Linked DNA regions of Macaca fascicularis. The main gene of each other region encodes a partner of the protein of the gene in region 2 in a complex. Links are inferred from orthologs where the notes say so. Each region holds a gene or a part of one and is shown on either strand. Other genes may lie near its edges.

Evidence for each region.
Region 1: the proteins of GNA13 (region 2) and GPR35 are in contact, whole or in part, in a cryo-EM structure (PDB 8H8J), measured with the Homo sapiens proteins. The link is inferred for Macaca fascicularis from reciprocal best matches to the Homo sapiens genes GNA13 and GPR35. Residues at the interface, in NP_006563.2 of Homo sapiens: Lys46, Arg47, Leu48, Val49, Lys214, Asn215, Val216, Phe218, Arg331, Gln337, Gln338, Lys340, Pro341, Leu342, Tyr343, Phe359, Arg360, Asp361, Lys363, Asp364, Ile366, Leu367, His368, Asn370, Leu371, Lys372, Gln373, Leu374, Met375, Leu376; in NP_005292.2 of Homo sapiens: Phe45, Gln51, Thr53, Thr55, Met59, Asp113, Arg114, Ala117, Val118, Pro121, Leu122, Arg123, Arg125, Arg128, Ala197, Leu198, Arg201, Pro202, Thr204, Asp205, Gly207, Gln208, Ala211, Ala215, Met218, Val219, Ala280, Lys281, Glu282.
Region 3: the proteins of GNA13 (region 2) and GPR4 are in contact, whole or in part, in a cryo-EM structure (PDB 9JHP), measured with the Homo sapiens proteins. The link is inferred for Macaca fascicularis from reciprocal best matches to the Homo sapiens genes GNA13 and GPR4. Residues at the interface, in NP_006563.2 of Homo sapiens: Arg47, Pro341, Tyr343, Phe359, Lys363, Asp364, Ile366, Leu367, His368, Asn370, Leu371, Lys372, Gln373, Leu374, Met375, Leu376, Gln377; in NP_005273.1 of Homo sapiens: Gln45, Asn50, Arg115, Ala118, Val119, Ala120, Pro122, Leu123, Ala126, Ile204, Val208, Ser211, Val212, Ser213, Thr214, Glu218, Lys221, Ile222, Leu225, Asn290, Glu291, Gly292, Ala293.
Region 4: the proteins of GNA13 (region 2) and S1PR2 are in contact, whole or in part, in a cryo-EM structure (PDB 7T6B), measured with the Homo sapiens proteins. The link is inferred for Macaca fascicularis from reciprocal best matches to the Homo sapiens genes GNA13 and S1PR2. Residues at the interface, in NP_006563.2 of Homo sapiens: Arg47, Val216, Phe359, Lys363, Asp364, Ile366, Leu367, His368, Asp369, Asn370, Leu371, Gln373, Leu374, Met375, Leu376, Gln377; in NP_004221.3 of Homo sapiens: Ser66, Met68, Tyr69, Leu72, Arg130, Ala133, Ile134, Lys136, Val137, Lys138, Leu139, Tyr140, Tyr209, Ile212, Val216, Ser219, Gln227, Thr228, Leu231, Leu232, Val235, Tyr288.
Region 5: the proteins of GNA13 (region 2) and GNB1 are in contact, whole or in part, in a cryo-EM structure (PDB 8H8J), measured with the Homo sapiens proteins. The link is inferred for Macaca fascicularis from reciprocal best matches to the Homo sapiens genes GNA13 and GNB1. Residues at the interface, in NP_006563.2 of Homo sapiens: Ser31, Ile34, Asp35, Leu38, Glu41, Lys42, Val45, Lys50, Gly205, Ile206, Glu208, Lys219, Val221, Lys231, Arg232, Trp233, Phe234, Glu235, Cys236, Phe237, Asp238, Ser239, Val240, Arg279; in NP_001269468.1 of Homo sapiens: Gly53, Leu55, Lys57, Tyr59, Gln75, Asp76, Lys78, Ile80, Thr87, Asn88, Lys89, Val90, His91, Ala92, Ser98, Trp99, Met101, Leu117, Asp118, Asn119, Tyr145, Asp186, Met188, Asp228, Arg314, Trp332.
Region 6: the proteins of GNA13 (region 2) and ADGRD1 are in contact, whole or in part, in a cryo-EM structure (PDB 9V0U), measured with the Homo sapiens proteins. The link is inferred for Macaca fascicularis from reciprocal best matches to the Homo sapiens genes GNA13 and ADGRD1. Residues at the interface, in NP_006563.2 of Homo sapiens: Val49, Val216, Phe218, Phe359, Val362, Lys363, Asp364, Ile366, Leu367, His368, Asn370, Leu371, Gln373, Leu374, Met375; in NP_942122.2 of Homo sapiens: Asn599, Arg601, Leu657, Met660, Val661, Ile662, Val664, Phe665, Ser667, Val737, Ile738, Ile741, Ala761, Val764, Asn810.

What each region holds. Positions count from the first base shown.
Region 1 is NC_088386.1:136,480,189-136,484,251, reverse strand, and holds the start of GPR35 (G-protein coupled receptor 35), read right to left. Parts: upstream 2,801-4,063; 5' UTR 2,693-2,800; intron 1,804-2,692; 5' UTR 1,578-1,803; intron 1-1,577. UniProt on the Homo sapiens protein: G-protein coupled receptor that binds to several ligands including the tryptophan metabolite kynurenic acid (KYNA), lysophosphatidic acid (LPA) or 5-hydroxyindoleacetic acid (5-HIAA) with high affinity, leading to rapid and transient activation of numerous intracellular signaling pathways.
Region 2 is NC_088390.1:71,456,477-71,459,976, forward strand, and holds part of GNA13 (guanine nucleotide-binding protein subunit alpha-13), read right to left. Parts: intron 1,637-3,500; coding exon 1,064-1,636; 3' UTR 1-1,063. UniProt on the Homo sapiens protein: Guanine nucleotide-binding proteins (G proteins) are involved as modulators or transducers in various transmembrane signaling systems.
Region 3 is NC_088393.1:53,667,667-53,671,958, forward strand, and holds the start of GPR4 (G-protein coupled receptor 4), read right to left. Parts: upstream 2,801-4,292; 5' UTR 2,598-2,800; intron 2,279-2,597; exon of another isoform or gene 2,213-2,278; intron 826-2,212; exon of another isoform or gene 648-825; intron 1-647. UniProt on the Homo sapiens protein: Proton-sensing G-protein coupled receptor activated by extracellular pH, which is required to monitor pH changes and generate adaptive reactions. Activated by an optimal pH of 6.8-7.2.
Region 4 is NC_088393.1:10,782,064-10,786,332, forward strand, and holds the start of S1PR2 (sphingosine 1-phosphate receptor 2), read right to left. Parts: upstream 2,801-4,269; 5' UTR 2,669-2,800; intron 1-2,668. UniProt on the Homo sapiens protein: Receptor for the lysosphingolipid sphingosine 1-phosphate (S1P). S1P is a bioactive lysophospholipid that elicits diverse physiological effects on most types of cells and tissues.
Region 5 is NC_088375.1:233,006,564-233,010,063, forward strand, and holds part of GNB1 (guanine nucleotide-binding protein G(I)/G(S)/G(T) subunit beta-1), read left to right. Parts: coding exon 1-26; intron 27-2,667; coding exon 2,668-2,869; intron 2,870-3,500. UniProt on the Homo sapiens protein: Guanine nucleotide-binding proteins (G proteins) are involved as a modulator or transducer in various transmembrane signaling systems.
Region 6 is NC_088385.1:138,254,999-138,258,498, reverse strand, and holds part of ADGRD1 (adhesion G-protein coupled receptor D1), read right to left. Parts: intron 2,925-3,500; coding exon 2,883-2,924; intron 1,812-2,882; coding exon 1,719-1,811; intron 721-1,718; coding exon 497-720; 3' UTR 1-496. UniProt on the Homo sapiens protein: Adhesion G-protein coupled receptor (aGPCR) for androgen hormone 5alpha-dihydrotestosterone (5alpha-DHT), also named 17beta-hydroxy-5alpha-androstan-3-one, the most potent hormone among androgens. Also activated by methenolone drug.

The DNA.
Region 1 (4,063 bases), on a different chromosome or scaffold from region 2:
CACATGTGACATAATCATGCATGTAGAACATTCAGCTTGGCACAGTGGCTTAGGCCTATAATCCCAACATTTGGGGAGGCTGAAGTGAGAAGATCACTTGAAGATAGGAGATCAAGACCAGCCTGAGCAACATAGCAAGACCCAATCTCAACAAAACACATAAAAATGAGCCGGGCATGATGGTGCACACCTGTAGTCCTAGCTATTTGGGAAGCTGAGGTGGGAAGATCACTTGAGACCAGGAGTTTGAGGCTACAGTAGGCTAAGATTGCATCACTGTACTCCAGCCTGGGCAACAGAGTGAGCCCCTGTCTCAATTAAAAAAAAAAAAAAAGAAGAAGAAAGAAGAAAGAAGAGGAGGAGGAGGAGGAGGAGGATAAAGAAGAAAAAGAAAATCCTAAGGCAGAAGAAAAAGAAGAGGGGGAAGGCAGAGGATTGGGAGAAAAAGAAACTCCTAAGGCATTTACCAGAAAAGAACAAAAGAAGGAAAAACACTATGAATAAATGCATTATCAAGGTTACAGGATACAAGATTAATATACCAAAAAAATGCATTTCTGTATACTAGCAAAAAACAATTGGAAAATAAAACTAAAAATACAATACCATTTACAAGCATTGGAAAACAAAGTACCTAGGCACAAGTGGAAAACGTGTATGCTTAAAGTTACAAAATATTGCTGGGAGAAATTAAAGAAGATCTAAATAAATGGAGAGGGTTCAGCATAGTGGCTGAAGCCTATAATCCCAGCACTCTGGGAGGCCAAGGTGGGTGAATTGTTGGAGTCCAGGAGTTCGAGACTAGCCCGGGCAACATAGCGAAACCATGTTTCTACTAAAAAACAAAAATGCAAAAAATTAGCCAGGTGTGGTGATGTGTGCTTGTAGTCGCAGCTACTCAGGAGGCTAAGGTGGGAGAATCACCTGAGCCCAGGAGGTTGAGGCTGCAGTGAGCTGAAATCCTGCCATTGGACTCCAGCCTGGACAAACAGAGTGAGATCCTGTCTCAAAAAAATATATAAATTAAAAATAAATAAAAATAAATAAATGGATGGGTATACTATGTTCATGGATTGAAATATGTCAGTTCTCCTAATATTGATCTATGTGATCAATCCAATCAAGCATCAAGCATCATGCCCTATTGGTTTTGCTTCCTGGGTATTCTCTTGGTGTCCATCACCTCCCACCTAACCCAGGACACCACCTTAATGTCTGCAACAACCTTTTAGTTGGTCCTCTACTTCCAATTCATCCTCAAGACCAGCCAGAGAAAGATTTCAAATGTATGTATGTCAGGTCCTGCTTGAAACTGCGTAGTGGCTCCCCATTGCCCATGAGATAAGACTCAGGCTCCTTAAACAACACTCAAGGCCCCTGCTTACATCTCCAGCCTCAGCTATTGCCATATTCTCCAAGCCCACTCCCCACACTGCAGGCACAGAGAGCTTCTTTCCATTCCCTGAGGGTGCCCAGCCCCTTTCCTGCCCTTGGCTGACCCTCAGCTGGTCAAGGAATACCCCCCTGCCATTCTCACCTGTTTTTCTATGAACCCCCTGTCTGAGTCAATGGATTACCTTTGTGCAGACGGTCCTCCCTAATGGATCATGAATGCCATGGGAGCAGGGGTGAAGGACGTCACGGCCACATCCACAGCTATCAGCAGTGTGCCTGCCACTCCACACATGTGCTTAGGAGGCATCAGGATGGAGGGACAGTGGGCAGAAAGATGGTGGAAAGTGATGTGTCCACGCTTTTGATGTCCTCATAGGGCGTGGAGGAGAAGTGATGAGCCCATGTCAGCTGCAACACACAGACAGGCACGCAATGCCACAGTGCCCAATGTCACACCCATCCAGCCCCCAGCCCAAGCCTGGCTGCTCCTCCCCTGGCAGATTCATAAAGGGACTGGGTGTCCCAGGCAGCTAAGGTGGGCCAGCCTGAGCCTTGACCTGGGTGAGGGACACTGCATATGCTCCTGACGAAACCTACTAAACTTGGTGCATGTTCCCTGGGACCCCTGAGTGAGTGTTGTGGTCCCAGCACAGACCTGAGGCAGTGCTGTCTATGTGGACACTGCATGTTCCCTGGGAGCCCTAAGTGAGTCTTGTGGTCCCAGCCCAGAGCTGAGGCAGTGCTGTCTGTGTGGACACTGGCTCTGCCTGCTGGGGATTAGGGAGGAATGGCCAGGGTTTGGAGGTAGCACTAATCAGACGGCCTACAGGCTATGGTCAGAGCCCTGCAGCCATGGTCTGAGCTCCCCAGGATGCTACGGAGAGCCGAGAGCTGCTGAGAGTCCCAGGCCAGCCTGTCCTCCAAAGCCCTTGCTCCAAAGCCGAAAAGACCCTTCCCCGGGTGAAGCAGCACGTCCAGGGCTTCATGTTGGGATCCAAAGGCCCCAAATCATCCCCAGGAATAAAATGATTCTTCCATTCGTTTCAAAAGGCAGCAAAACTAGCTTAAGTATGGCAAAAATTAGGTGAAAACAAACAAAAAACAGCAAAACCAAATGAGGCCTCCCAAGGGACAGCGAGCAAGGCACGACCATGAAGAAAGCATAAGACCAGAGTTCAGGTCTGAACACCTTGGCCCCAGCCTGGCCGGCCGCATCCTGCATCCTGCCCAGCCAGCCCTGTCCCAGCCAGCCCTCTCCCCGAGTACTGCTCTCAGGGCACAGGATCTCGACACTCACCCCAGAAGCTCTGCTGCCCCCCAGGCTGGTCCAAGCCTGGAGGACTGTGAGAGAGATGGCGGAATCAGGACTGGGTAGGACACAGCTCCCGCCAACGAGTCACCAACTGCTGTGCCGGGAGCTGGAAGTGACGACAGCAAGGAACCCAGGCAGGTGGTGTGGGGCAAAGTCCACGGGAAAGGCCAGGAAGGAGGTGCTCTCACAGGACACACCCAGTCCTGCCCATCCGGATCTGCCAGGGCCACCCTTTGTCCCTTCCCGCCATGGTGGGGAGACGGTCTTCAGCCCACATGCCCCGCTCTGCAGGTCCACAGTACAGCCAGGGACCCCACAGCCCCGGACCCCATAGAAAGGCCAGGTCCTGCCTTCGAGCATTCCTGAGAGTTCTGGGTGCCCTGCCAGGGCTGGCACTGGGGAGACAGGTTGCTTTTCAGGGCAGTTCTTGTTTGCTGGGACGCAGGCCACTGGGAACTCAGCATCTGTGTAAGAGACGGGCCCTTCTGTGGATGACCCGTTTGTGTTCCCGAAATTCACATACTGAAGTCCTCATCCCCAAAGTGAGGAATGAGAAGGTGGGGACCTCTGGTAGGTGATGAGGTCATGAAGGCAGAGGTGTCACGAACGGGATGAGGGCCCATATAAAATGGGCCCCAGGGAGTTCCCTTGACCTTCCACCACGTCAGGACACAGGCAGAAGGCGCTGTCTCTGGACCAGGAAGCAGGCCCTCACCAGGGACCAGGTCTGCCAGTGCCTCGATCTTGGACGTGCAGTCTCTAGAATGGAGAGCAATGCATTACCATTGTTTATGAGCTGCCCAGGCTATGATGCTTTGTTACAGGAGCCCAAAGGAACTCAAAGATGGGCCCCGCCAAGGAACTCAGGCAGGTGCAACGCCAGAAGAGCCAGGAAAACTTAACGGGCTGAGGAAACTCTTCAGCTTTCTCTATTTTTATGTAAACCAACAGCCTTGCAGCAAAACAAGTGGTCAATAGGAGACCCAGTAAGTGCTTGGCAGACAGCCAAGAGAGGCCGGAGAGGGCAGGAGTGCTGGGCAGCGGCTCCCAGCTCCAGAGCACCCCTAGAGGCCCCTAGGTGAAACAGGCAGGGGAGCCTCACCGGGATCCAGGAGCAGGCATGCTGGTGCCGATGACAAGCCTGCTGATGGTCCAGGCAGAGCTATCGGCTCTGAGGCTGACAGGGGACTGAGAGTTTCTAGGTGGCCTCCACCCCATAAGCAGAGCTGTGCAAGGAGCCCATCCAGGCTGGCAGCAGCCACTGCAGAGTCCACCCCAGCAGATGCTGAGAGAGAAATGTCACTGGGTGGCCTGTGGCCCCTGGCCCAGAAAGCAGGAAAAGCCCCACAGCGCCCC
Region 2 (3,500 bases):
AGAAAAATACTGCCCTTGGCAAGCTCCAAATAAACAAAACAATCCCACAAATGCCACAGTGTGGAGCTGATGGGACTGGACAGGACAGCAAAAGATATCTAGATGTTTGTGATGATACACAATGATTTCCTACAGTAAGGACTGGTCTTTACTGACCAACTGAGATAGGGCTTAAAAGTCAACTATATGACATTCTGGAACAGGTTAAGTTTATTTAGAGAGTTCTGTTACCAAGTTGCTTGCAGTTTTTAGTTGCTGCTATGGCCAGAATGTTTCACATATGGTACATTAAACTACATGATAATTAAATATGAGAAAGGCAAATGCTATTTCACTCATTACGTTTGACCAAAACACGGTAAATAGCATTTGCTTGCCTTTTGCTCTCCCGTACCACCTGTGAATTCTTCATCAGCATCAGACCAAAGACCTTATGTAAACTTGAAAACACGAAGAACATTACCTTCAGAAACACAGAAATCTAAAAGCAGAACAGCTGTTGTGTACACAAGCAATTAAAACATGAAGGCTAAACCTTCTATGAATCTACAGAATGCCATTTCTTAGATCAAACTTTTTTCTAATAGCCCTTACAAAATGGGAGGTCACCACAGAGTTAGGCAACAAGTGGCACTGCTGTGTGTAAGGCGGACAGAAGATACCTTACTTGCTTTGGAACTGAATATTCCTAACCTCATCCCTACAAGTATTTAAGGACACCTTTGATACTTGGCACTGCAGGAGAATTCAGTTTGAAAAGTAGAATAATTTAAAGCCTGAAATATGCCTAGTCTGAGGTCAGCTGGGAAGTTTTAACCGGACTTGAATAGAAGCCATGGTGAAACAGATCAAAGCCTGCATTACAGCAAATCTTGGCGATGTGTCACTCAACAGCTTTCAGCCACAAACCAAAGGCCGCAGAAAAAGTACTAAGATTTTCAAGAAGTTAAACATAGAATTAAGATTGTTCTAATTCTGGTTGTAAACTGCTATTTTAAAAAACAAAACAAACAGAAAACATCAAAAACACAAAAAGATATTAAAACAGCAAGTCTTTTGTACATCACTGTAGCATAAGCTGCTTGAGGTTGTCATGCAGAATAGTATCCTTCACATCACGGAAAACAAGGCGGATGTTCTCCGTATTGATAGCAGTGGTGAAGTGGTGGTATAAGGGCTTCTGCTGCTGGTCCCGGCGTTTGTTCCGGAAACATTCCACCAGGAATTTTTGGACGTCTCTTAAGCAGTGGGGATCCCCTTCAAATTCTAGGAAATAGTCTTTGATGCTCACAATTTGCACCTTCTCCTCAAGCAAGTCTGTCTTGTTTAAGAACAGAATTATGGAGACATTGCTGAAAACCCGGTTATTGACGATTGTTTCAAAAATGTTCAGAGACTCTGTAAGGCGATTGGTCAGTCGATCTTCCATAAGCACCTGGTCAAATTCACTTGAGGAAACAAGGAAAAGTATTGATGTGACACTGTCGAAACACTCAAACCAACGTTTCCTTTCTGATCTCTGACCACCTACATCAACCATTTTGAAAGGAACATTTTTAATTTCAAAGTCATATTCATGAATGCCTTTGGTGGGTCTTCTGGCAAGCAGAATATCTTGTTGTGATGGAATATAATCCTGGAAAAGGAAAAATTGTTTTATACTTAGCAATCCAGAAGTAATTCGAATTCTTAATGGACTACTAACTGGACTAGTGAATAGATATGCAACAAAATGACCTTTTAAATGACATTTTCAGATAGATTATGTTTACTATAAAATGTTAAGACTAGTCAGACATGGTGGCTCACGCCTGTAATCCCAGCACTTTGGGAGGCTGAGGCAGGAGGACCACTTGAAGCCAGGAGTTTGAGAGTACACTGAGCAATAGAGCAAGACCCCATTTGTGCTCCCCGCAAAAAAGCCAAGATACATTAAAATGTTAGCAGGATGGGTTCAAAATTTACTACAAATGGCCAGAATCTACTTGTTTTCATCCTCGCAATACTACTCCAAATTTAAGCTGAAGTCTTATCAATTGTTCTCACTCGCCCTCACTGCTATATATCTACCTGCAATTTTACTCCCCACTATTAGCCACTCTTGGTTCTAGCCAGAGTGATCTTCCTGTCTGCATATCCACCTTCTCCACACTGCTCCTTGCTCATCTATTAAAAGCCATGGGGGTTGGGTTCGGTGGCTCACACCTGTAATCCCAGCACTTTGGGAGGCTGAGACAGGCGGATCACGAGGTCAGGACATTGAGACTATCCTGGCTAACACAGTGAAACCCCGTCTCGACCAAAAATACAAAAAAAAATTAGCCAGGTGTGGTGGCGGGCACCTGTAGTCCCAGCTACTTGGGAGGCTGAGGCAGGAGAGTGGCGTGAACCCGGGAGGTGGAGCTTGCAGTGAGCCTGAGCTGAGATCACGCCACTGCACTCCAGCCTGAGTGACAGAGTGAGACTTCGTCTTAAAAAAAAAAAAAAAAAAAAAGGCCATAGGATCTGATTCCAGTGCCAATTCACAAGGATCACTCCCTAGTTCCAAGTTCTGCCCACCTCTCCTAACCTATTCTAAAAGTTCCTTTACTGTGCAACCCCACTCACAACTTAGAACTTCTATGTTTTCACTGCTGCTGTATTACGTGTGAAAAACCCTTTCTCTCCTATAATTAACTATGTTCCAGCTTTCTTACTTATTGACCCAAGAACTCAAACTAGTCACTTACTCTGAGTGCCAGCACCTGTGTCTGTGAAATGGAGGTGATCACACTTGGCCTGTCTACCTGGGAGGGAGGGCTGTTGCAAGGATCAAATGAGCTCTTCTCTGCACTCTTGGTCAGTGAACTGTAAGACCCCGAACAAACAGAAGCTGCTGGTCACACAAGTCACCAGCTACTCTGTGATGGCACACTTCCTTATGCAATGTAACTGGTTCTTCCTTCTTAGTCTAGCATTTTTCCAAAACTACAACACAGCTTTCTGGTACTACATGGGCAGAACAGCTAATATTTATCATCAAGGTCAAAATATTTTAAAAATCAAGGCAGGATTTAAAACAATGCTGACCGTTATTCACAATGCTGCACTTTATGCCTTTCTGAATAGTGTAATATGATTTTGAAATTTCATTACAACAAGAATACTCACTGTCTCAAAATACTGCAATGGAATTAAGAACATATATATACATACTTTTTTGAGATGCAGACTTGCTCTGTTGCCCAGGCTGGAGTGCAGCTCACTCCAACTTCCACCTCTTGGGTTCAAGCGATTCCCCTGCCTCAGCCTCCCGAGTAGCTGGGACTATAGGCGTGCACCACCACGGCCGGCTAATTTTTTGTATTTTTAGTAAAGATGGGGTTTCACCATTTTGGCCAGGCTGGTCTTGAACTCCTGACCTCAAGTGATTTGGGACGCCTTGGCCTCCCAAAGTGCTGGGATTATAGGCGTGAGCCACTGCGCCCAGCCAGAATTAAGAATTTTTAAAAAGTAGGTGG
Region 3 (4,292 bases), on a different chromosome or scaffold from region 2:
TGCTATGATTTTTTTAAGCATTCTATGACTTTCATAATCTATTATTAAACCGTCAGTGATTTTTATCTTTCCCCAGCAAACAGGAATACGTATTTCCCTTTTCTCTTTTACAGAAATGGGAACGTACACTAAATACAGTGAGCCCCACTTCCTTTTCTTTCCCCCCTTCTCTCGCCTGCTTTTGAACATTCCAGCAGCCTGATTTCTAAGATTGTGCAGAATTCTAAGAAACTATGGATTCACAGAGCGAAGAGAGGGGCATGTTAGTCACCACCTCCACCTGGTTCCTAAATTCTCACCACCTGGGGGTGACATGAGATATCCAGGCCTCCTCTCTACCCTTTCCCTAGTGGGCCTAGCCTCAGCCCTCCCCGCTCACACCAGCTGAGTTATTATTTGTCTAGACACAAACCAAATTATAGGCCCTGTCCCCGAGGGAACGGTGGGCTCCAGGCGGAGGGTCAGGAGACTGAAGCTGGAGTTAATCCCGGTTCCCCTCCACCTCCCTCCTTCTCTTCCCGAAACTCCACCCCTTCCACCCAAACCAACTCTTGCCCCTCTCCCTCCCCACCACCATGGTTTTGGAAATATTTTCTCTCCTCTGCTTCTAAAACCCTCTCTTCTGGATTCCAGCCATTTCTACTCACCCTGGCATCTCTCCCTCCTCATTGAGAAGACCTCTTTCCCCAAATTAATCCGGCTTAGTGGTAGAAGAAGCAGCCAGCTCTCTGGATTTGGGCTTCGGTTGAAAACTGGGGTCCCAGCCCTCCAGCCTGGCACTGACTCACTGTGGGGACTTCTGCTCTTGGGCCTCAGTTTCTCCATCTATAAAATGGGGTGGGGGGAGTTGGCCTAGGTGGCTCTGCAAACCCTTTCCAACTCTCAGCTGCCATCACTGAAATGTGCCAAGATTTCAACACTCCTCTTTTTGGATTGAAGGACTCCAGTATCCCCAGGACCTTTCATTGGAAGGATCTGGAATTTCCAGGCCTCCCCTCTGATCCTTCTTCCATCTAGGCCCTTCCATTAAAAGATATTCACGTTCAAGGTTCTTGATCATATGATTCCCAGGGTTCCGGGGGCCCCCATGGGTCTCTTATCCTCTTCAGCTGGGATTCCCCCAGAAAAGAAAACCTCCTCATCCTCACCCCAAACCTGAAGTCGAGTTCATCTACAGAGACAGATCTGGGGGTGGGTGCCCCCTTGGTGGGTTCAGGAGGAGGGGTGCTGATGATGGGCTCTGGAGGGGGCACTGGGGGGTGTGGCCCCATCTTCTCCACTTCTGCCCCAAATTCCCCAATGCACATCCAGCCCGAGTGCGCACACCCACATCCCACAACCGATGCCTCCCAGACATTCTAGGGCTGTTCCTCAGCCTAGTTTGGGAGGAGGGGTTGTCCAGTTCCCCGGGGGGAGAGTGAGGCGGAAGCAGGAAAGAGTTAACGGTGACCCAGCCAAATCCTGGAAGAGAGGAAGTAGGCGAGGAAGTTCACCCCCCAGCCAGGAATTCCTGAAATTGGCGGGCGGGGTGGGTGCGACTTCAGGGGCAGTGGGGTGGCTCCGGGAAGAGGGCGCTGGGGTCAGGGTGTCACTTTGAGTCCTCCTGCCCCAGGTCACAAGCCTCCTGCCCTCTACTCCCAAGCAGCTTCCCAGCCCAGAGGAAAGTTCCGGGATGCGGAGGATTTGGAAGGAGAGAAGACAGAGCAGAAGGTGCCAAAACAGGGTTATAAGAGACGGAGAGACAGAGACAGGGCAATAGAGAGAGACGGAGAGACATGGAGGGAGAGAGCAAAGAGATATACAGAGACAGGGAGAGATGGAGATAGAGGCAGACACATCCCCAGAGGTCCCACAACAGATGGGGGAGAGGCAGAGGCAGGGACAGAGGAAGGTGGGACCCAGAAACAGAGAGACAGAGACAGACGGAGACAGACGGAGACCGGAGAGGCAGAGATCAAGAAACTGACAGAGACATCCAGAGACACAGAAAGAAAGACAGGTCCAGAGGCAGAGGGACCACAGACACAGAGACACAGGCGGGAGTTGGAGACAGACGCAGAGCCAGGGAGAGCAACAGAGGGGGCGGGCGCCGAGACGCCGCGGGAGACTGAGGCAGCCCCAGAAGGGGCGGGGAGGAGCGGTCCCGCCAAGAGCAGGGCAACCTAGTGAGACCTCGCAGCATCGCGGGGGCCGGGGAGGGCCCGGCACTCACCTGCGCGCGGCGACTGGACGGGGCGGGCGGCGGCACCTCTCTCGGCTGCGTCCGGGTCTCCGGTCTGAATGACGGCGCGGGGACCCAGCGGATGCCCCCGCGGGGCAGAACAGCGGCTACTCCTCCCGGCCCCCGGGCCTGAGCCGTCAGCTGAGGCCCCGCCCCGGCCAGGCCCGCCCCCATTAACCCCACCACTGCCGCTGCCCCTTAACCCCTTTCAGACTTCACCCCATTCAACACCTCCAGCCCCGGGTGAGGCTCATCTGCTGCTGGAACACCCACTAGTCCTTCCAAGTCCCCAGCTGGAAGGTCCCCTCTCTCGAACCACACACCCCCAACTTTATCAGGCCCTCAGCTATGGGAAGAGGAGGCCCCCGCTACTGACCTTCCCTGAGTTGAGCCATTTCCTCCCGTAGAGACCCCAGGCCTCAGTCATTCATCTTCTGGCCGTTAACCTTCTGCATCTTCCGCCGGTAGGAGGGGGAGAACAAAGGGTTCTGTTAGGTCCCCAACTCCAAAGTCAGGGCCACCCCTAGAAGGAGCTCTGGGGTTGCACTTCCAGCCTGCCTCTTGGTCAGACCTTAGGCTAGTGACATCTCCGTGCCCCAGTTTCCTCTTTGAAACAAGGTGGTCACTCATGGTGCCTGCTTGCTTCCTTCCTTCTTTGCTTTGCTTTGCTTTGCTTTTTTCTTTCTTTTCTTTCTTTTGAGAGGGAGTCATGCTCTGTTGCCCAGACTGGAGTGCAGTGGCACAATCTTGTCTCACTGCAATCTCCACCTCCCAGGTTCAAGCAATTCTCCTGCCTTGGCCTCCCAAGTAGCTGGGATTACAGGTATGCACCACCATGCCCGGCTAATTTTTGTATTTTTAATAGAGATGGGGTTTCACCATGTTGGCCAGGCTGGTCTCGAACTCCTAAGCTCAAGCTATCTGCCCACCTCAGCCTCCAAAAAGTGTTGGGATTACAGGTGTGAGCCACCGTGCCCGACGTCTTTTTTTCTTTTGCCCAGTCTGGAATGCAATGACACTATCATGGTTCCCTGCAGCCGCAACCTTCCAGGCTCAAGTGATCCTCCTACCTCAGCCTCCTGAGTTGCTGGGACCACAGGCATGCGCCACCACAGCTGGCCAATTTTTAAACAATTTTTTTCTACAGACAGGGGTCTCACTATGTCTCGGCTGGTCTCAAACTCCTGGGCTCAAGCCATCCTCCTGCTTTGGCCTCCCAAAGTGCTGGGATTATAAGACTGAGCCACCGAGGCCGGTCATCATGGTCCTTTTCTCTTGGGGGTTTCATTTCATTGTGTCAGTGCTATCAAGGCTGTAAAATACGCCAACCAAACCTCAACACTCCCCATCTTTCTCTGCCTTACTTTCCCCCTACCCTTTGGGGAAGGTGACATTCTCCGTTTCCCTTATTTTTTTCTAGTTGTCTGCCTTCCTACCAGGAGGAGTGTCATTTTTGTGTCTGGCTTGTTTACTGTTGCATGTCTGTTGCCTACAAGACAGCTGGGCAGGTGATAGGTGTGAAATACATTGTTTTCGGGCTGGGCGCGGTGGCTCACGCCTGTAATCCCAGCACTTTGGGAGGCCAAGGCAGGCAAATCACGAGGTCAGGAGATCGAGACCATCCTGGCTAACACAGTGAAACCCCGTCTCTACTAAAAATACAAAAAAATTAGCTGGGCGTGGTGGCGGGCACCTGTAGTCCCAGCTACTCCGGAGGCCGAGGCAGGAGAATGGCATAAACCCGGGAGGTGGAGCTTGCAGTGAGCTGAAATCGCGCCGCTGCACTCCAGCCTGGGCAACAGAGCAAGACTCCATCTCAAAGAAAAAAAAGAAAAAAATACACTGTTTTCAGGGAGTGAACAAATGAATGATAAGTGCTCCTAAAACATTAGCTTATTTTTATTTTTGACTTTACATCTTTCATAAACTAATCGTGAGAATTCATTATTGGTTAAGGGACCTCAGATAGACGTGGCATACAACACTAAAAAATGATAGCTGTCAGGTTTGATTTTTTTTTTTTTTTTTTGAGACAGAGTCTTGCTGTGCCCAGGCTGGAGTGCAAGGACAT
Region 4 (4,269 bases), on a different chromosome or scaffold from region 2:
TCACCTTCTGCAGCCCGGGGAGGTTAAGGCATTCACAGAGGGAGAGGCAGCTCTCCTAGAGAAGGGGAAACTGAGGCCCATATTTTATCCAAGCCTCACTTTAACCACTAGGACTTTACTGAGGCAAGCACTTAGGTGGTTGACACGTCCCAGAAAGAGGAAGCAGGGCACTGAGGTTGGAGCTGGCGGAAGAGTCACCCCCTAGGTGGACTGTGGCCTAGCCTGTGTCCCCTCCCTGTGTTAGGTTACCAGGTTTTGAGAAGGACACAGAGCCTGTCTCCTAGTCACCTTCACCAAGTCCTTCCTGACTCCCTCTCAGAAGCTCAGAAAGAGGCCACTGGGCTCACATAGAATGTCCAGGCCTGAAATAGAACAGGAGGGACAAGTGATGGGGTTTGGAAGGAAGGGAAGATAGACTCAGACGACTGTTTGGCTGGAGATTAGGAGAGGGGAAGGATGGAGGAAGCCTCAGTGGCTTCTAAGCTCCTCTCCACCCACTCCCAGTTCCAGAGAGGCAGGCCCTGTGGTTACAGTTCCCCCTGGTCACCCATGGAGCCCCCGTGGTAGCCACCCTACTTTTTGGTTTCCCTGTGGTTGTCAGGACCCCCTACCCTGCCATTCTCTACCAAGCAGCCAGGGGGAGCTTTTAAACTCATAACTCCATGTCACTCCCCAACTCCAAATCCTCCCATGGCTCCCTATAGCCCAAGTAGCATGGCCCCTGCCCACAAAGCTTCCTCCCATTCTCCCCCAGGGCCATTCCACTCCAACCACACTAAGCCTCCTCCATGCTACCCCCACCCCTACCTGCAAGCCTTTGCCCCTGCTGTTCTTTTTGGGGCACACTTTCCCTCAATTTTTTTTGAGACAGACACTCAATCTGCTGCCCAGATTGGAGTGCAGTGGTGTGATCTCAGCTCACCGCAACCTCTGCCTCCTGAGTTCAAGCGATCCTTCTGCCTCAGCCTCCTGAGTAGCTGGCGTTATAGGCACCCACCACCACACCCAGCTAATTTTTGTATTTTTAATAGAGATGGGGTTTCACCATGTTGGCCAGGCTGGTCTGGAACTTCTGACTTCAGGTGATTCACCTGCCAAAGCCTCCGAAACTGCTGGGATTACAGGCGTGAGCCACCGCGTCTGGCCTTTCCCCAAATCTTCGAATGACTGTCTCTCCATCTTTCTGGTTTCTATTTAAAGGTCATTTCCTCAGAGGGGACTCCCCTGACCTCTAGTCTACAATAGCAGCTGTCTCCAAGCCTGTTCTAATCACAGAATATTGTTTTATTATCTGCGCAGCGCTTGCCACTATGGGAAACTATCATGATATTTCTCCTTTTCTGTCTGGCTTCCACCTAGACAGTCAATGGGTAAGGCCAGGGAGCAAGTCAGCTATCAGCCCCTACAGGGATGCCTGGCACAAAGAAAACACTCAGAAAACGTGTGGAATGGGCAAATGAATGAATGAATGAATGAACCAACGAACAAAGGAGACCCTAGTGGGTTCCCAAGGGTGGAATCTCCTAATTTCAGCCCAGACCCAAACAACAACGAAGGAGCCTGGAGACACCTCTGGTCCCCGGGCAGCGCCCCCACCGCCCACCATCAACCAGGCAAAGCCCAGCGTGTCTCCATGGAGATGGCAGCAGGACCCGCCCCCGCGCTGACCCGCACTCTCGGCTTCCTTATCTGGCCTAGGAATGCGCGGTATCCACACTCGCTTGCGCTGGAGCCACGCCTCCTCTCCCCCCTACCGCTACGAGACCACCCCAACGTCTCCAAGCGGGACTGGAAGGACTCCTCTCCGTCCCGCCAGGGGTCCCGCCTCGAGATTCTGGAAAGACTGGGGGTGGGGGACCAGATCGTAGCAGCAGCTGCACCGCGAGTTCCGCGCCTGCCCGAGTCGCCCCACGCGGGGGACCGTGGGCTCAGCGCGTGGCGCCCGGAGCATCTGACAAGGACAGAGACAGAGGGGGTGGAAATCCCCGGGTGAGTCAACCCGTGCCGGAGAAGGGGGCGAGTTCCGACGCTCAGCCCGGCCAGGGGCCACGCGGGGTCCGCGCCACGCGCGCCTTCACCCACGACCCATCCCTGAGCCGGAGTTGAAAGAGGAGGCGCCTAAGCCACGCAGTCACTTTTTCTTTCCTTCCAAAACAAAGCCACGCCCCCTCGGGGGAACCGGAGGAGCAAACAACTTGGGGAAACCGAGGCAGACAGCCCGACATGCGACCGCCCTCCCCGTGGGTGCCGCCCCTTGGCTTGGAGGCTCCAAGGCGCGCACATCCTTTTGCCCTCGCTCAGCAGGAGTCAGCCAGGAGGGGTGCTGCACCCCTCCCCCAAACACACTCCCCAAGACCCTGGTCCCCGGGCACAGCGTCCAGCCTCCCAAAGACTCCAGTCGAAAGCGCTCGGATTCCGCCTTCTCCCCGGCGCCAACTTCCTGCCGCTGAGAAAGGCGGGGAGCACAGTCTGGGGGTTCGCGGCCGAAGCAGTGGGGGCCGCCCGGACTCTTGGAGAGGGCGCACGGTGACCACCCGCTCTGTGCAGCAGGAACCCAGGCGGCGCGTGCGCGCCCCAGCCTCCCGATCGGGGCCCCCTAGCTCGGATCCCGAGACCTCAGGGGACCAGGGCCCGCCCTTTCTGCTTCCTTGTCTTTACGCGCGCTCACCTGGCTAGGCCGGCCCGGCTCCCGGCCCTGGCCGGAGGGGCCTTGGCGTCTGCGTCCCCAGGGCGGCCGCGGCTGGGGCTGGGGTTGCCCGCCGGGCTCGGCTACGTCCCGGGGCTGGGACGAGGGACAGTGGGGGGGCGGGGTGAGCCGCCACCGCCTCTGCCCCCCGCTCGCCCCGCCCTCCTCTCCTCCCCTTTCCGGCGGCGGCTGCAATGAATTCCAGATGTGGCCTGCCGGCTGGCCGGGACGCACGCGGGGGCAGACAGGAGCTGCACGGAGGGCCCCTTTGTCCGCCCCCCCACCTCTCGCTTTGCCCCTCCCAGCCCCCACCCGTGAGAACCGGCCAGCGGGAAACGTCACGCAGCCTAGTGACGTCACAGTACTCTTGGCCAGGTGGCCTCAACCTGAAACAGCTGTCTTCAACTCCAGGTTACCTCTGGGCTCACCCCGGGACCCTGGACTTGGAAGAAAACACGAGGTCACCTTTATTTACTCAACAAAGAGCCTTGGAAGTACCTACTAGGTGTCAACGCTGCAAATAGGCATTAAGTGCCTATTGTATGCCCACCCAACAAATAATGAAATTCCTACTAAGTGCGATGTCCTGTCCCAAAGACAAAATTGGTCTCTCCCTTTTTTTTTTTTTTTTTTTTTTTTTTTTTGAGACGGAGTCTTGCTCTGTCGCCCAGGCTGGAGTGCAGTGGGGCCGGATCTCAGCTCACTGCAAGCTCCGCCTCCCGGGTTCACGCCATTCTCCTGCCTCAGCCTCCCAAGTAGCTGGGACTACAGGCGCCCGTCACCTCGCCCGGCTAGTTTTTGTATTTTTTAGTAGAGATGGGGTTTCACCGTGTTAGCCAGGATGGTCTCAATCTCCTGACCTTGTGATCCACCCATCTCGGCCTCCCAAAGTGCTGGGATTACAGGCTTGAGCCACCACGCCCGGCCTTTTTTCCTTTTTTGAGACAGGGTCTCACTCTGTCACCCAGGCCATAGTGCAGTGGCTCAATCATAGCTCACGGGAGCCTCAACCTCCTACCTCAGCCTCCAGAGTAGCTGGGACTACAGGTACGCCATCACACCTGGCTAATTTTTTGCAGTTTTTTGTAGAGATGGGGGTCTCGCTATGTTGCTCAGGCTGGTCTTGAACTGTTGCATTCAAGCAATCCTCCTGCCTCGGCCTCCCAAAGTGCTGGAATGACAGGTGTGAGCCACTGAGCCTGACCAGTCTCTCCCTTGATAGAACTCCAGAATTCAGGTGCTGCCCTCTCTCCCCTGGGGGACTGGGGACACTCCACAGTCTTTCCTGCTCCTGTAGATCACTGTCCCCTCTGGCAGGGGGCACCAGCAAGGCCCAGTTTGTGCCTGCCTTCTGGCATCTGGCCCAGTCTTCTATCCAGTTTTCCAATTTTCACTCATTCCTGGGCGTTTCTGTGTGCCTACCTGTAGAAATTATGCACACTACACCTTCATCGAATGATGTTTGTGTACGTGTGTGTGTGTGTGTGTGTAACCAGCAGTTTGACAACAGGAAAGGACAGCCCCTCATTCCCTCAACAAATTTTTTTGTTTGAGACAGAGTGTCCCTTTGTCTCCCAGGCTGG
Region 5 (3,500 bases), on a different chromosome or scaffold from region 2:
GTCACCAGCTCTGGAGACACCACATGGTAAGTACCTGACCCGGGGCAGGCAGTGCGTTGAGAACCCCACACCCCTGGCACATTCCTCTGTGAACATGGAGGAAATAAGGTTCTTGACATAATATTAGGCCATCTTTAATTTAAGTGGCCTTAAGATTTTAAACACATAGTAGCAATGTGTGAATTCATTATACTTTTTTTTTTTTTTGAGACGGAGTTCTGCTCTTGTTACCCAGGCTGGAGTACAATGGTGCAATCTTGGCTCTGTGACCTCCACCTGCCAGGTTCAAATGATTCTCCTGCCTCATCCTCCCAAGTAGCTGGGATTACAGGTGCCTGCCACCATGCCTGACTAATTTTTGTATTTTTAGTAGACCAGGTTTTACCACGTTGGCCAGGCTGGTCCTGACTCCTGACCTCAGGTGACCTGCCCACCTCGGCCTCCCATTACAGGCGTGAGCCACCATGCCCAGCCTCATTATACTCTCATTATACTTTTAATAAATTTACAAAGTTTAATTTTCAGCAGCTAAGAACTAAAATACAAACTTTTTTTTGTTTGTTTGTTTGAGACAGAATCTTGCTCTGTCTCCAGGCTGGAGTGCAGTGGCGTGATCTCGGCTCATTGCAACCTCTGCCTCCCGGGTTCACGCTATTCTCCTGCCTCAGCCTTCCGAGTAGCTGGGACTATAGGCGCCCGCCACCACGTCCGGTTAATTTTTGTATTTTCAGTAGAGACAGGATTTCACCATGTTGGCCAGGATGGTCTTGATCTCTTGACCTCGTGATCTGCCCACCTCAGCCTCCCAAAGTGCTGGGATTACAGGAGTGAGCCACCACACCTGGCCAATAAAGATATTTTAACTACAATCAGGCTGAAAGTACTGCTCTTCTGTTTTTTTTCCCATCTGTATGTCTGTACCTCCTTAGGTGATGCTAGGTGGGAGCAGGGTGGGTTTTGATTGTCCCTTTCTGATAGCACCGTGTCACTGTGAACAATGAGCACATACTAAAACTAACAGACGTCACAATTCAAGCGATTCCATCAGACTTCATTTTTAGTGTTTTCACCTTACAGGTGAACAGAAACCCACTTAAAACACTAGAAGTTTTTCATTTGTGGCATCAAAGTACTAAATTAAATATCCAGCTAGTTATTTTATGAGTCATTTTAGACTTCAGCTGGCCATGTGGGTTTTTCTGGTCTTCTGAGGCATGATTTGGTGGCAGGAGCTGTGTCCAGGCCAGGGCACAGACCTCTAGTCACGCAGTTGGTAGGGTTCACCGAGACATGGGTCCTTAACCAACTTATTAGCAAAGCATCTGTGGTATTATAAGGTGTCTCGTTGTATAAATTTCATAGATTTACAAAAGATTTGTCACCTAGATTGTCAATCTTGAGAAGACTTTATTTATTAGAAGATATTTTTAAAGCGCTTCTGTTCATTAATCATTTTTTTCAGACTCTCTTACGTATCTTGCTTCCCTTCTGCAGTCAGTCCCTCAGGCCCTAGAGAGGAGACTCCCTGTGGGGTGTCTGTTGAGATCGGCTGGTTGGATTTGCATTGCCAGGCCCAGCCAGACTTTCCTCTGAGGCTGACAGGAACGGACAGTGCTCTCTGGTGTTGCCTTCCGTGCGTCAAGGCACAGGAGAATAGCACATTTTTAGGCGTGTGGCCTTCAGAGCTGTCCTTACACCTAAGCCAGGCTTCTGCTCTGTGCAGGGCTCTGTCAGCGTCTCACCTTTTGACAGTTCGTTAAGCAGAAACACAATAGAATACCAGGTATGGCCGGGCGCGGTGGCTCACCTCTGTAATCCCAGCACTTTGGGAGGCTGAGGTGGTTGGATCACCTGAGGTCGGGAATTCGAGACCAACCTGACCAACATGGAGAAACCCCGCCTCTACTAAAAATATTAAAAAAAAATTAGCCAGGCATGGGTGGCACATGCCTGTAATCCCAGCTACTTGGGAGGCTGAGGCAGGAGAATCGCTTGAACCCGGGAAGCGGAGGTTGCAGTGAGCCAAGATCGCGCCATTGCACTCCAGCCTGGGCAACAAGAGTGAAACTCACTGTCAAAAAAAAAAAAAAGAATACCAGGTGTGATCACTGAGAACTCAGCTGCTCTCCTGTTTGTGATTCCAGGAAAGGGCAGGGGGACCTCAGAATTGCTGCGAGCCATTTGTTTACCTGCCATTGGCCTTCTCCTGCCTGCCTTTTCTAAGATCCTGTGGAGGGGAGGCCAGGGGAGGGCACAGAGGGAGCAGCCACAGGTAGAGTCGCATCCCCCTCCGCTATCCAGGGCCTCCCCATGGCTTCCTGCCACCCCCTCCATGCCCATCCATGACTGAAGAGTGGGACACAGCCTCAGTGTTGCTGCTTGAAAAGTGCCCCTAGCTCCCTCTTTGCTGGCGTTTGAGTTGAGGTAGTGATCCCGTCATTCTGAAACCCAGGCCGTGTGCTCATCTCTGTATAATTTTGCTTACTTTGCTTTGTTTCCCTTCCAAAGTTGTATTACATTTAAATTTGTCTTTAAACAATTTACGTTTTTAAAGTAACAGTGCAGAGGCTCACTGTGGCCCTGGGTGGTTTGAAGGACAGACTGTCATATGACTAGCCACCCGAGAAGTTGAGGCTGATGTCCCCTTGTCATTCGCTCCTGCTCCAGTGCCCTGTGGGACATCGAGACCGGCCAGCAGACGACCACGTTTACCGGACACACTGGAGATGTCATGAGCCTTTCTCTTGCTCCTGATACCAGACTGTTTGTCTCTGGTGCTTGTGATGCTTCAGCCAAACTCTGGGATGTGCGAGAAGGCATGTGCCGGCAGACCTTCACCGGCCACGAGTCTGACATCAATGCCATTTGCGTGAGTCTGGGTGAAGGTGTGGGGTCGGGGCCTCTGCTGTCTCTGCTAGCCGTTCAGATTGCTAAATTTTAAACTTTTCTGGATTAGATGTTCTCCTTTCTGATCCTTATACAACCTCGTCTGCAGATGGGGATACAGAAAACTCCCCGTGGGAAACGTCTCTATGTTGACCACTTGTCTTATAGATATTCACAGGGTGTCTGTTATGTGCCAGTCCCCGTTCCCACCTGTACAGCTGAGCAGCGGTTGGGATCCTGGAGGGGAGAGACAGTAAGGTAACTCAGGCCACCAGTTACCGGTTACAGAGCCTTACTGGTCAGGGGCACAGCTAACCAGGAAACCTGCTCTCCTCTTTAGCACGCAGATGGCTAGGCAGTGTTTCCAGCCCCTGGCCTTGTGAGGAGATGTGGAAGGATGTATCTGTTGGTTGGATAGAGCTCTGCTGCAGTCCTGACCACTGCCCTGCTCAGCCCACTTCGCTCCTTCCTCCATGAGATTAGCCCTGATGTCTGGCAGCTACAGCAGCATGCACACCTGTCAGTGATGACTCCTTTCTCACTATTCCTTTGAAATAAATTCTACTCTTTGGGGACAGTAATCACAGTGTCCAAGATCACAGTGTTTATGTGCT
Region 6 (3,500 bases), on a different chromosome or scaffold from region 2:
GCCCACGGCTTGAGCTCGGCTTGGGCAGGGCCCAAACTGATGACAGCACAGGTTGGCCCACGCTGGCACCACCTATGGAGACACCATGGCTGGCGCCAACTGTGGGGAACTCACCAGTGAATTCAGACCCTGGGGACTCCTCATGCTCTTCCCCACACACCCCCAGCTGCCTGCACCTGACTGTCTGGGGGTGCATGGGGACCTGAACCACCTCTTTGGCCCTGAGTCCCCAAGTCCCACCAAGGCACAGAGGCTGAACGTCCCTTCCTGGGGCTGCGGGACCTGAGTGTCCTGGCCTCGCTGGGTCTGGTGCTCAGTGACGAAGGGAGGCTCAAGGGCACCATCACCGTCAGGCCACTGTGTCCTGGGAGTCCCCAGAGGGAGTCACTCAGCCCACAGGTGGACGTGAGGCAGGAGGGCCCACGCTGGCCTGGGTATCAGGCTGCTGGACTCAGCAGTGTGCTCTGACAGCCAGAGTCACGGGAGGACGGCTATCTCAGGGCCATAACACCCAAGTCCAGACAGCGGTAAGGAGAGGGTCCCACGGGCAAAGATGCGGAGTTTCATTCCGTTTGGGGGGGCGGTGTTCTGAGCGCAGCCTGGCCTGGTTGGCAGCCTCCCGGCTCACACGGCTGACAGGTCTATGCGGTGGGCAGAGTGGCTGCTCTTGTCCCAGGGGCTGAGCTTGGTGGAGGCCGTGCCTGGCCGGGCCCCATTCATCTGCAAAGCATAAACGGATGAGCAGTGAAGGGCCTGCTCCCGGGGGAGAGCCATAAGCCCAGTGAGCACGGGGAGCACTGGGCCCACAGCTGCCTGAGGATTCTCCCTGCGGTGGGGCAAGGTGCATCCCCTGGGGGAGATGAAGATGTGTACACTGTGGCATCTCCACCTGCAGAGTTCTCCACACTGACCTCCCTTCCGGCACCACAAGCATGCTGTGCTGAGTGCTCACTCCCTCCTCTGCTCACCCATCCACCCGGCACCCACGCTTTCACCCCCGTGCATCTGTCCATGCTGGTGTCATTCCATGGTGAGTCATGGAGCGTGCCACGCACCTGGCACAGTTGTAGCTGTGGGGCTAGAGCAGTGCATGAGCCAGCCAGCTCCCGTGGAGCAGGGCAGACATGGTCCCTAAGCAAATGGAAAACCACACAGCTGTGGGTGGAGGCGGAGTGCAAAATTGGGTGGGAGTGCCTTGATTGAGCACCATATGCGGGGAAGGACTTCTGAGGATGGGACACTGGAGCAGGCTCCAGCAGGTGGGAAGCAGTGGCGCAGTGAGAACCCTAACAGGGCCGGCTCCAGACTGCCTGGGCTCTGGAGGGCAGCAGGGATGGGCCACCTCATGGTCAGTTGATCTCTAAGTCCTTCCATCCCTAAGTGAACACAAGAAGCCCTGACCCTTCAGGGTCAAAGGGGAGGGCTGTGGTGACTTCATCATGACACAGGGCACTGTGACGGGGACACGAGCCCAGAGCACGTGCAGCCTGCGGGCTGGAGTCAGGCAGGAGAGGGGGACAAAGACTGCTGGGCACCCGAAGCCACCTCTGCTGCCTGCACACCCCATCCTGCTGCCTGCACACCCCATCCTGCTGATGCACACCCCATCCTGCTGCCCGCACATCCCATCCTGCTGCCTGCACACGCCATCCTGCTGACGACCGAGCCTGGGGATGGAGGATGGGCTGGGACCCTCGGTTTAAGGAGGCTGCACTCACGATGTCCGAGTGGAAGGGCTTCGCGTTGGCTGTGCGGCTGGAGCTGCTCGTGAGGGACCAGACCTTGGTTTTGTGCTTGAAGGCAGCTCTCACCTTAAAAGCAGGGAAGGGATCACAAGAAGCAATTTCAGAGGCTGCAACAGCCGTAACCAGAGGAGTCTGTGCCAGTGCAACCCTGGAAGCAGATGTGCGGGGAAGGTTGGGATTTGGAAATAACAGAGTCGGAGCTAGTGGCTCCACAGCTGAGCTGTGCATCGCTGCTCTGTGTGGCAGACCCAGGTTGTGCCGCAGGCCAGGGAAGCTGGGTCTGGAGTGGACTCTGCTGGGCTCCTCACACACAGCAGTGAATGTCCCGGGGTGAGTGTGAGAGAGAAGCAAATAAATAAAAATGCGTGGCGGGCGGGTGGGTAGACTTCCATGGCTGCACGGCCTTCCTGCCACCCGGATCCACCTCAGGCCTTGCAAGGGGTCACTGGGTGTTGTGATCATGCAGCCCTTCTGCCCGGTCACCATCCTGCTCAGCGACTCTGCCCTCCTCGGCCCACTTGGCCTGTCCTTGCAAACGGACACCGCCACTGAGAGAGACCGGGCAGGGTGACCCCTCTGCCCTGGCCCATTCCCCACCCCAAGGCAGCTCCCACAACCTCAGCCTGGCAGGGGCTCAAAGCTGACTTGGGAAAAGTTCTCCCACAGGAACAGAAGTCCTTGGGGCAGCCCCTGCTTTCCCCCAGCCAAGTACATGGCAGGTGCCAGGCTCAGAGCAGCACCGAGAAGAATGAGCCTGTGCTGGCTGCCCCAGTCCAAGGAAGCCACATCACAAAAGTCCCCTTCCCAGCTCCCATGGACAGCAGTCCTCCCTCTCACAGCCAGGCCAGCTTCCCCAAGGCCTTGAGGAGGACTTTGGGGAACACGCCTGCATTTCCCCAGGATGCAGTCGCCACTTCTCCAGGGAGAGAAGATGCTTGTCCATCGCTTAGCAAGGAGGCAGGGAGAGAAGAGTTGCTGAGCAGCAGGCCCAGGGCACACAACTTGTCATCAGGAACACAGCTGGCTCAGGATTTGAGTCCCAGACACCACCCTGATAGGGCAACGCTATTCCCACTCCTGTGACCTTTCAGAAAGGAAAAGCCAGCTTCATACTGCTAGGAAGTAGAGTGGACGTACCTCTGAATTCAGGAGACAATGGAAGAGGAAGATGAACAGTCCCTGGGAAGGGAGGGAAGAAACGGAGATTAGAGCCCTTTGCATGTAGTTCGGAACACTGTCTGGAGGTTCCTCCCATGCAGCCTGAGAGTGACACTGGCACCGCACGCTGTGACACCAGGTCCCATGACCTGGGGCCTGTGAGGACGGAGGGGTGTCCTGGGTCCCACCCTGTGATCCAACCTAGATTTGGGCAGCTGCTTGGACCGAGTTCAGAGCGGGGGGGGCTGCGTGGGCAAAGGTGCAACGGCAGGTGGGTTCCCAGGCAGGCTCAGTGCGGGGCAAGGGCAGGCACTTCCGGAAGACGTGCCACCAGCCTGCAGACACAGACACAACTCGAGTAGCCTGGGGAGGGCCGGGAGGGCCATGGATGGTGAAGGGGACCCATGCTTGCCCTCCCTTGCGGGCCCATGGGTCTGAGGTCCCTGACCCTTGGCATCCCAAGTCTTTGGTTCCCAGGCCCTTCACACAGAGGGCAGCACCTGAGGACTGCCCTGGCCACCTCTTTGCCTGACTCTCTTTCCAGAGCTGCCACAGGCTGACTGTCTTACTGTCCCTCCATTCCCAGCCAGGACGTGC